Neurospora crassa OR74A: one gene and its partner. The protein of the gene in region 2 purifies or fractionates together with the protein of the main gene of each other region. This does not show direct contact. Links are inferred from orthologs where the notes say so. Each region holds a gene or a part of one and is shown on either strand. Other genes may lie near its edges.

What was found.
Region 1: the proteins of por (region 2) and hsp60 purify together in Saccharomyces cerevisiae (affinity purification with mass spectrometry, with the first as the bait; 3 studies listed by BioGRID). This does not show direct contact. The link is inferred for Neurospora crassa OR74A from reciprocal best matches to the Saccharomyces cerevisiae genes POR1 and HSP60.

The regions. Positions count from the first base shown.
Region 1 is NC_026502.1:3,011,297-3,015,776, reverse strand, and holds hsp60 (heat shock protein 60), read right to left. Parts: upstream 2,872-4,480; 5' UTR 2,727-2,871; coding exon 2,646-2,726; intron 2,565-2,645; coding exon 2,423-2,564; intron 2,346-2,422; coding exon 844-2,345; 3' UTR 390-843; downstream 1-389. UniProt on the Saccharomyces cerevisiae protein: May participate in assembly and/or disassembly of proteins imported into the mitochondrion. HSP60 are ATPases and have affinity for unfolded proteins.
Region 2 is NC_026505.1:5,560,912-5,565,379, reverse strand, and holds por (outer mitochondrial membrane protein porin), read right to left. Parts: upstream 3,035-4,468; 5' UTR 2,698-3,034; coding exon 2,653-2,697; intron 2,347-2,652; coding exon 2,224-2,346; intron 2,086-2,223; coding exon 2,055-2,085; intron 1,698-2,054; coding exon 1,195-1,697; intron 1,124-1,194; coding exon 974-1,123; 3' UTR 584-973; downstream 1-583. Other genes in the region: NCU04305 (hypothetical protein), read left to right, coding at 1-102; NCU04303 (asparagine synthetase 2), read right to left, coding at 3,737-4,468. UniProt on the Saccharomyces cerevisiae protein: Non-selective voltage-gated ion channel that mediates the transport of anions and cations through the mitochondrion outer membrane.

The DNA of each region.
Region 1 (4,480 bases), on a different chromosome or scaffold from region 2:
ACGGTTGGCCATGTGGCTTGCACACCGAGTTGACAGCTCTGAGCCTCTGCAGCGACGGGGAGACTGCCACCTGGTAAAAGAGTCCCACTACACTTAAAACATGTTTACTTGGCGCCGTTTCAGTGTTGCACCATGCAATTTCTGTTCCACATTACCTTGAATTCGTCAACCTCTGTCAACCGGGCACCACCAAACAAATGATTGGCCCAAGCTCCCATCACATCGACGTTCATCCAATTCACAAATGCGTTTCCAAGTTCTGACAACCAACCCATCTTGATATCTCACAGCCACCATGGCAACGCAAGCTTCTCACGGACTTTTAGGCTTCAATATCAGCAAATGTCCGCATGCCAGACAATTGAGTATCAAAAGATATGCCTTCCTAGTAATACATCAGCTTCGCTGAACACTATCAACAGCTGCCTAAAGGTGAATGCGTAATATTCCAAGAAATGGTACGCACCTCCAAAACTATGGTTGCACAGCTTTCGGATTATTCAAGGAGACATCAGTAGCAGTATTGTACAGTTTCATTCATTCTCATGATTTGCTCTACTCTAACCCTCCTCTGTGGTCCGTAGATTATAGTACAAGGAGCATCATCATCATCCAAACAATGCCCGCCGGAATATGCTAGTAAGAACACACGAAGAGAAAAGGTAGAGAGGAGAGAAAGTTACATGACACACATTTTTTTTACAGTCCGTGATAACACCAAGCCCGATGCCCCCCAAACCCATGTTGTCGCCATAAATCAAAGGTAAAAATAAAGAAAAAGACACATTTTTCATCTCCTGACCGTGTGATTCACAGTTGTAGTTTGTAATTTCCTTGTCCTTCTTACATCATGCCACCCATGCCGCCCATGCCGCCCATGCCACCCATGGGAGCGGGGCCCTTCTCCTCGGGAGCCTCAACAATGGCAACCTCGGTAGTACCGAGGAGGGAGGCGACACCGGAGGCGTCAACGAGACCGGTGCGGACGACCTTGAGGGGGTCGAGAATACCGGCCTGGATCATGTCGACGTACTCAGCCTTGGCCGAGTCGAAGCCCTTGTTGAAGTCGTTGGCGAACTCGTCAGTGAGCTTGCCGACAACGACGGAGCCCTCGAGACCGGCGTTCTCAATGATGGTCTTGGCGGGGCGGGTGATGGCGTTGCGGACAATGGTGACACCGAGCTGCTGGTCGAAGTTGGCGGGCTTGACGTTCTTGAGAGCGTGGACGGAAGCCTTGATGAGGGCAGTACCACCACCGGGGAGGATACCCTCCTCAACGGCAGCGCGGGTGGCGTTGAGAGCATCGACGAAGCGGTCCTTCTTCTCACCAACCTCAACCTCGGAGGCACCGCCGACCTTGATGACGGCAACACCGCCAGAGAGCTTGGCGAGACGCTCCTGGAGCTTCTCCTTCTCGTACTCGGAGGTGGAGGGATCGGCCATGACGCCGCGGATCTGCTCGCAGCGCTGGGCAATGGCATCCTTGGAGCCCTCACCGTTGAGGATGATGGTGTCGTCCTTGGTGATGGTGATGGAGCCGGTGGAGCCGAGCATGTCGGGGGTGGCCTTCTCGAGCTTGACGTCGAGCTCGTCGGTGAAGACGGTACCATTGGTCAGGACGGCAATGTCGCCAAGGATGGACTTGCGGTTGTCACCGAAGCCGGGGGCCTTGACGGCGGCGACCTGGAGCTGGCCGCGAAGCTTGTTGAGAATGCAGACGGCAAGAGCCTCACCGTCAATGTCCTCGGCAATGATGACGAGGGGGCGGCGGGTCTGGCTGGAGATCTCGAGGGCGGGGATGATGTCGGAGGCCTGGGAGATCTTCTTCTCGGAGAGGAGGATCAGGGGCTTCTCGAACTCGACCTTCTGGGACTTGGGGTCGGTGATGAAGTAGGGGGAGACGTAGCCGCGGTCGAAGCGCATACCCTCGGTAACCTCGAGCTCGTCGTAGAGAGTCTTGCCCTCCTTGCAGGTGATGACACCCTCCTTGCCGACCTTCTCCATGGCCGAGGCAATCAGCTCACCAATGTGCTTGTCGCCGTTGGCGGAGATGGTGGCGACCTGGGCAACCTCCTCGGAGGTGGTGACATCGCGCTTGTTGGCCTGGAGGTACTCGACGACGGCCTCGACGGCAGCCTGGATACCGCGGCGGAGATCCATGGGGTTGCAGCCGGCAGCGACGTTCTTGACGGTCTCGGAGAAGATGGCGCGGGCGAGGACGGTGGCGGAGGTGGTACCGTCACCGGCGACCTCGTTGGTCTTGCCGGCGACCTCCTGGATGAGGCGGGCACCGAGGTTCTCGAACTTGTCCTTCAGGCTGATGGACTTGGCGACGGTGACACCATCTGTTGGGTGGAGGGGTTAGTCACTCTGACACACATGCCATGTTTCCCCATCACACCCCGAGACATGGTATACTAACCCTTGGTGATCTTGGGGGAGCCGAAGCTGGACTCGATGAGGACATTGCGGCCCTTGGGACCGAGAGTGGTGGCAACGGCCTTGGCGAGGGTCTCGACACCGGCGAGGAGAGCGGCACGGCCCTCAACACCGAACTTGAGCTCCTGTGTAGTGGGCGAGAGCTGTCAGTATGCGCCAATTGTCATCGGATAGCCATGACGGCATGGCCGGGACCCGGATCGTACCTTGTGAGCAAAGCGGAGCTGCTGGGCGGGAAGACGAGTGGCCGCCTTGCCGACGGAAGCTCTGGTCAACGCGCGCTGCATTTTGGGGGTATTGTGTGAAGGAAGGAAACTACAAACAGAGAAAAAAGAAGGATCACGGGGGTATCACGACGGTTGACTTCAGGGGAAAAGAGAGCAAAGGAAAGCTAGGATCGCGGACTGCCGAAAGAACTGGGGAAGAAAAGTGCGGCCGTGGGCGTGTCGGCGTTCGAAAAAAATGCTGGACTTAAACATCTCCAAAGGCCCGAGCTCCCCGCTGCCGCTAGTCGCTTGTGGGTTAGCGGCTTTGCTGCTTTCCCTCCATTTCCGCTGCTGTCGCTGTTTCTGGAACCATCTGCACCCCACCATTGGCTGCTGGGAGGGAGTCCCCAACAGTGCCCAGGTGAGCATCATTCCCCCTCATTCACTATCACTGGCACTCAGTGTTTATGTCGCGCAGCATACCTATCGAGGTTCTGACTTGACAAATTGGACACGCAACTTTGAGGCTCACCCCCTTTTCTTGACTGTCAACTGCCTCGAGACGGTTTGGATTGAATTGATCAAAAATGGCCAGTTCATCTAGACATTCAGACATTGACGACCGGTGAGTAAGCGGCTCGATGGATCCTCTGACGTCCATGCATTTCCATGTCAACAAAGTCGCTCCTCTTCCCCGGGGACGCACCTCGCTCTCGGCAGGCAGTCCCCAGAATTACCCGGCAACCGAACCCCCCTGGACCGTCTTGGTCGGTCTTGGCAAACCCGTCTCCTCCCACTTGAGCCTCAACACCGACCGGCCTTTCACAACTCGGCATCCCCGGCATCATCGGCGCCAGCATTCACAGGTCGAAATATTCGGACACAACTCCTCGTATGTGCATATGCTCTGGCAACTCGACAACTTCAAGTTCATGACCTATTCCTACGAATCCCTGTTCGGCCCATCCTACACGCCTGCTTTGCTTCTTGATTCATTCAAGCATGTTGGAGCAGATAACGGGATTGCGATATGATATTTGATCTTGTTCTCTCCTTCAACATGTCTGCGTCTCCATTTGTGTGTTGACGTGCGGACTTAAGTTTCATAACTGGCATGAGACTGGCATCTGAGATCACTTCATTCCCGCCGTTGGACTCTGAAAGAGTTGACTACCTCTACTGTTCGATGCTCGGCTGTATGATACGCCTTTCGGTATAACACGTCCCTAGCATGAAATTTTGAGGAGCCAATCACAAGCCTTGATTGCTCTTTTCCCATGTCTCAACCAGAAGACCACTCATCAAAGATCATCTTTGAAGTCCTCTTGCCCCATACTCAGTCGCTCGCAAATCACGCTTTAACTTCTGTTCATCATGAAGTCGCTTCCAAAACAGACGATTCTGCTATTGATCACAGCGTCTTCATAAATCGCTGACTATCATAGATTTCACCAGTCTATCAAACTCCGTTTCAACCACTTCACTGTGCACACTCCCTGGATATTGCTTTGGGTTCATAGCATATATACATTTATGCTCTACCTTATTTCTCTCTCCCTCAGTTGCGAAACCATCATATCAATTCTTAACAATTGGCGTTGCCAGTACCCACCTCGATTGGCCAATTCTCGTCGAACGTCAACGAACGTCAAAGTAGATGACTCCATTGCAGTTAGGTGGACACTCTCTTCCACCGCCTCAAAGACTCGACTTTTTCACTTCTACTGCTTGTCTCTTCTTTGTATTGACCATAACGCTGATATCTATCTATTGTGTCGCGTTGGTTTCCCATACGTTTGGATTAGCGTTCATCATCCCATTAGCTACGAGATATA
Region 2 (4,468 bases):
GGTGGTGGTGGTGGTGGCGGTGGTAAGAAGAGGAGTGGAAGCGGAGGAAGCGGTGGCAGTGGTGGGAGTGGAGGGGGAAGTAGGAAGCCGACTGCTGTTTGAGCTGTGGGGATGATGGGTAGGCATTATGATTTGAGCTGGAAGCAGGTTGAACAGGACTGCGGGACCACAAGAGTAACAGAATTGTGGTAGGCCCAAGTGACAGAAATACAGGTAACGGAGTTCTGCAGTTAGAGAAGAGCTTTGTGTGACAACAGACTACATTCATAATTCAGCTCTTGAGAAGATGATGAGAAGTTGATGAAGCTTGAACTGTGTGCCGAGAAGATCTGTTCCAATTCAATACGCATCTTTGCATGCTGGGTGTTCGCCGTACTAAAGGTACCTATCTATATATAGCTAGTATCGTATCTCCTCTAGTCGAGGTGTAGGGAATCGATTTGCGGACAACACGTTGAATAAGCTCTATCCCTCCAGCTTTAGTTAACTGGCTGGGTTTAAGCCTTGCTTGCAGCAAAGAATGCCACCAACAATTACATGCTGATGCTTCACTTCATTGCACAGCCCTTTGGAGTTTCAACGGTGTTTGAAAAGTAAGTACTGAATGAGCGTGTTTGAAATCGCTATGGGTATTTATAATCTAAGTAGTGTAAAGATCGCGCTTGGTTTCCGTCTCCAGCCTAATTACAGTAACCATGTCCATCAAAGACGCTACAACTCTATCAAGAACTTTTGGCCCTCTTCGTTACACAAAAGCCCAAACCAGTTATACACAAACTCATCCTATCAGTCAGCCACCCGAAGCAGGGCGCAACGTTCGTCATCTTCACTATCTTCATAAAAGAAATAAATATCACTACTGGAAGGGGAGGCTCCACGATGCCAGCAAAGGGGGGTTATCTATTCCAGTTGAGAATTTGTTCGAAGGAATACTATTACGCCGCTGCTTCTTCACATGTGTCCTGCGATTACTCTAAGACTCGAAGGTGAAGCTGGTGCCGACCTTGTGGGTGGCCTGGTCAAGCTTCTGGGTATCGAAAGAGGCACCAACACCGAGGGTGACGCCCTCACGGAGGAGAACATTGTAGGCAATGGCAGCGACACCACGGTCGTTGATCTTGCCCTATACGGTTGGAAAGAAACATCAGGTCAGCATACAGAAGTTCCATAAACGGAATGACAGCAATAACATACCTTGACGAAAGAGACGGGGTCAATGCGGTACTTGGTGGCGACCTCGAGGCCGACGGTGTTACCGGTCTTGGAGTTCCAGGTGGCCTTGGAGCCGGCCTCAACCTGGGAGTTGACCTTGTGGTAGTAAGAAGCGGAGAAGACGCTCAGGTTGTCAGTAGCGGTGATGGCAGCGCTGTAGGTAGGGGCGTGGTAGCCGACAGCGGCGCTGTAACCAGTGATGGCAGCCTTCTGGACATCGTAGCCAGCGGAGGCACCAGCGAGGAAACCCTCGTGGCCGACAATGGCGTCAATGTTGGCGGTGGGGCCCTTGAGGAGGTCGAAGAAAGCACGGCCGTGGAAGTTGCTCTGCTTGAAGTGGAGGTTGAACTTGGCGCCGCGAGCGTTGGTGGCGGGGAGGAAAGAGAAGATACCCTCAGCCTTGAGACCCTTGGCGAGGTTGTCGGCCATCTCGACCTTGGTCTCAAGGGCGTTGGCAGTGTTCCAGGTCTGGGTGACGGTCAAGCCTGTTGTTCGCCAGTACATTAGCATTGTCGTGAGGTTCGCATACGGATAATGGAGAAAGCTGAAGTAGAGGGGTCGTCCCCGAACTCGAGGACCGATGACGCCGCCTAGAGAGAAATTCAAGTCTACCAGCGGCCGAACACGCGCTGAAGGCCTCTGCTTTGGTTGTTTCACGTTGGCAGTACCATTGTCGTGGGCGGCTAAACTTCCGTCGGGATGACAATTCCTGGCCTTTTCGTCTTTGTGGACGCGTCTGTGAACAATGCAAAAGCCAGGAGGTAGTGGTGCGCCGGGAGGAAGGGGACCAAAAGGGGGACCAGAAGAAGAAGACAGAGATGTAAGAGAAGAGTGATATGTACCATTGGGCTTGTCGGTGAATTTGCCCTCGAGCTATCAGTCACGCAAAAGAGGTCAGCTTGGTCCGTTGGCAACATGAGAGAAGGGAGGGCGTTTGGCGCAACAGCAAGGTGGTATGATGCTGTCGCGGCATTGCGCCGAGAGCCCCAAGGGAGGGAGGAGGTAACGTACAGCACCGCTGGTGACCTTGTCGTGTGTGGACTTGCCGGTAACCTTGAAGGCGACATTGTTGGGGGTGTTGGACTTGACCTCGATGGTGCCGGCAGCGAGGTGGTAGAAGTCCTTGTTGAGGAGCTATATTGCGCGCAAAGAAGTCCATGGTTAGCGACACATTATAGTGCGTGCATGGGGACCAGGGCCCAATCATTCAATCATGGTGGGGGTGGAGGAGGATGACGATGTTGCTTCGTGGACATTGGCATCGACGAGCTATCGCGAGAGGGGGATGTGTAGGTAGGTATGGGGAAATGCCGCTTCAGTTTTGGAGCTTGTACAGCTTTCTCCAGCCAAACAGACAAACACGTCTCTCGATAACATCGATCGAACAGGTCGCCGTCATAGCTCGGGTGCGGAGCACAGGGAGGCGTGATTTTTGCTTACGTCGTTGGCCGACTTGGCGATGTCAGAGAAAGCGGGAACAGCCATTGTGAAAGATGTTGTGTGAGGGCGACACGGGTATGATGGTGAATGGAGAAAGTGAGGTTGCGGAGTTCAAGAACGCGAGCTGGAGACGGGAGTCGGGAGAGAAAAGGCTTGCGGTTATGTTGCGCGCGGCGGGGAGCAGCAAGCTCAGTCGGGTCGGCTGCGACTGACGGCGGGGGGGCCTCTCTCTGGTGGGTTCTGGCGAGCCTGGCGACTGGGTTGGGAAGTCGGCGTCGGGTCTGGGAAGCTCCAGCCGAAAAGTGGAAATGGAAATGTTGGGAACACCAGAGACACCCCAAGACCAGGTGCAATGTCCCGATAAATTTCTTAGACGGAGTCGTGATTGGTCTTTCTCGCCGTGTGCATTTGGCAGCTCGGCAGCGCTAGTAGGCTCGCCATGACAAGCTTGAAGCAGCACCAATCGCGACCCCACGCCATTGACGAAACCAGCCCGTTCATGCACACCATTAACCCTAACCCCTTTCAGCGTCATGGCCCCCTTTCACGCCTTCTCCAAAGGTAAACAATCAGGGCACAGACTGAAGCTGAGGCAAACCATATCATCTGCAGTCAGCCCTTTCATCTCGAGACCGCAAGTGCATTTGTGTCGTCCGGAAAAGGCCCGCATCTCATAGCACCCACATAATGCAAGCATCTTTTATCTATCGCATACGCATAATTGTCATCCCCTTTTCTCGTACTCACATCTTCATTACCGTCTGTTGCTTGGAATAGGTCTTGCTTAGGTTGTTTCACTTGTCGTTCGTGTATTGCACCCGAACCTTGCTCAATACGAAGTCAGTCCCATCCAAACGGTCACCATTGTTCACAAACATGCCAATTGCTACATAGAGTTTTGAATCACTTTTTGTCTTCATCTCTATGCTGGGTTAATGGCTAGTATAGGTATACGCGATCCGTTTATTGTGACCCCATATAACGCCCTGCATTGTAATCCCGATGCCAAGCTTTTAAACATTCCAGTCCCCATTTTCTTTATCCATGGTTTCCCTTTTTGGTTTTATTATTTTCTTGTTTTGCTTTACTCGTCCACGTGGTCATACTTGGCTTGGTGAATGGAGATGGCTCTGCCACTGGGGTCGGTCTGCTTGACCCACTTGGGAGTCCACCTCATGACGGTAGACGCGCACGAAGGGGGGAAGTGCTCGTCGAACATGCAGCGGTACCAGTAAGCCTCCTTGGTATCGGGGATGTCGTCACCCCACTCGGGCTTGGGGTTCTTCATCATCTCGTCAGTGACTTGGAGCTCGGCCTGGTCCTTGAGAGCGTCGATCCATCCGTAGCCGACACCGTCGGAGAACTGCTCCTTCTGGCGGTAGAGGATGTTGTCAGGGAGGTAAGCACCCTCGGGCTGGTCCTTGGTGTCGAAGGCCTTGCGGAGGATGTACTTCTCGAGCTTCTCCTTGGTGATCATCTTCTCCTGGGGATCGATGTTGAGAGCAACCTCGAGGAACTCCTTGTCGAGGAAGGGCACACGGGCCTCAAGACCCCAAGCAGAGGTGGACTTGTTGGCGCGCAGGCAGTCGGCCAAGTGGAGGTTCTTAACACGACGGACACACTCCTCGTGGAACTCCTCCTTGTTGGGAGCGCCGTGGAAGTAGAGGTAACCACCGAAGATCTCGTCAGAGCCCTCACCAGAGAGAACCATCTTGATACCCATGGCCTTGATCTTGCGAGAGAGGAGGTACATGGGGGTAGAGGCACGGATGGTGGTGACATCGTAGGTCTCGAGGTGGTAGATGACATCGGAAAG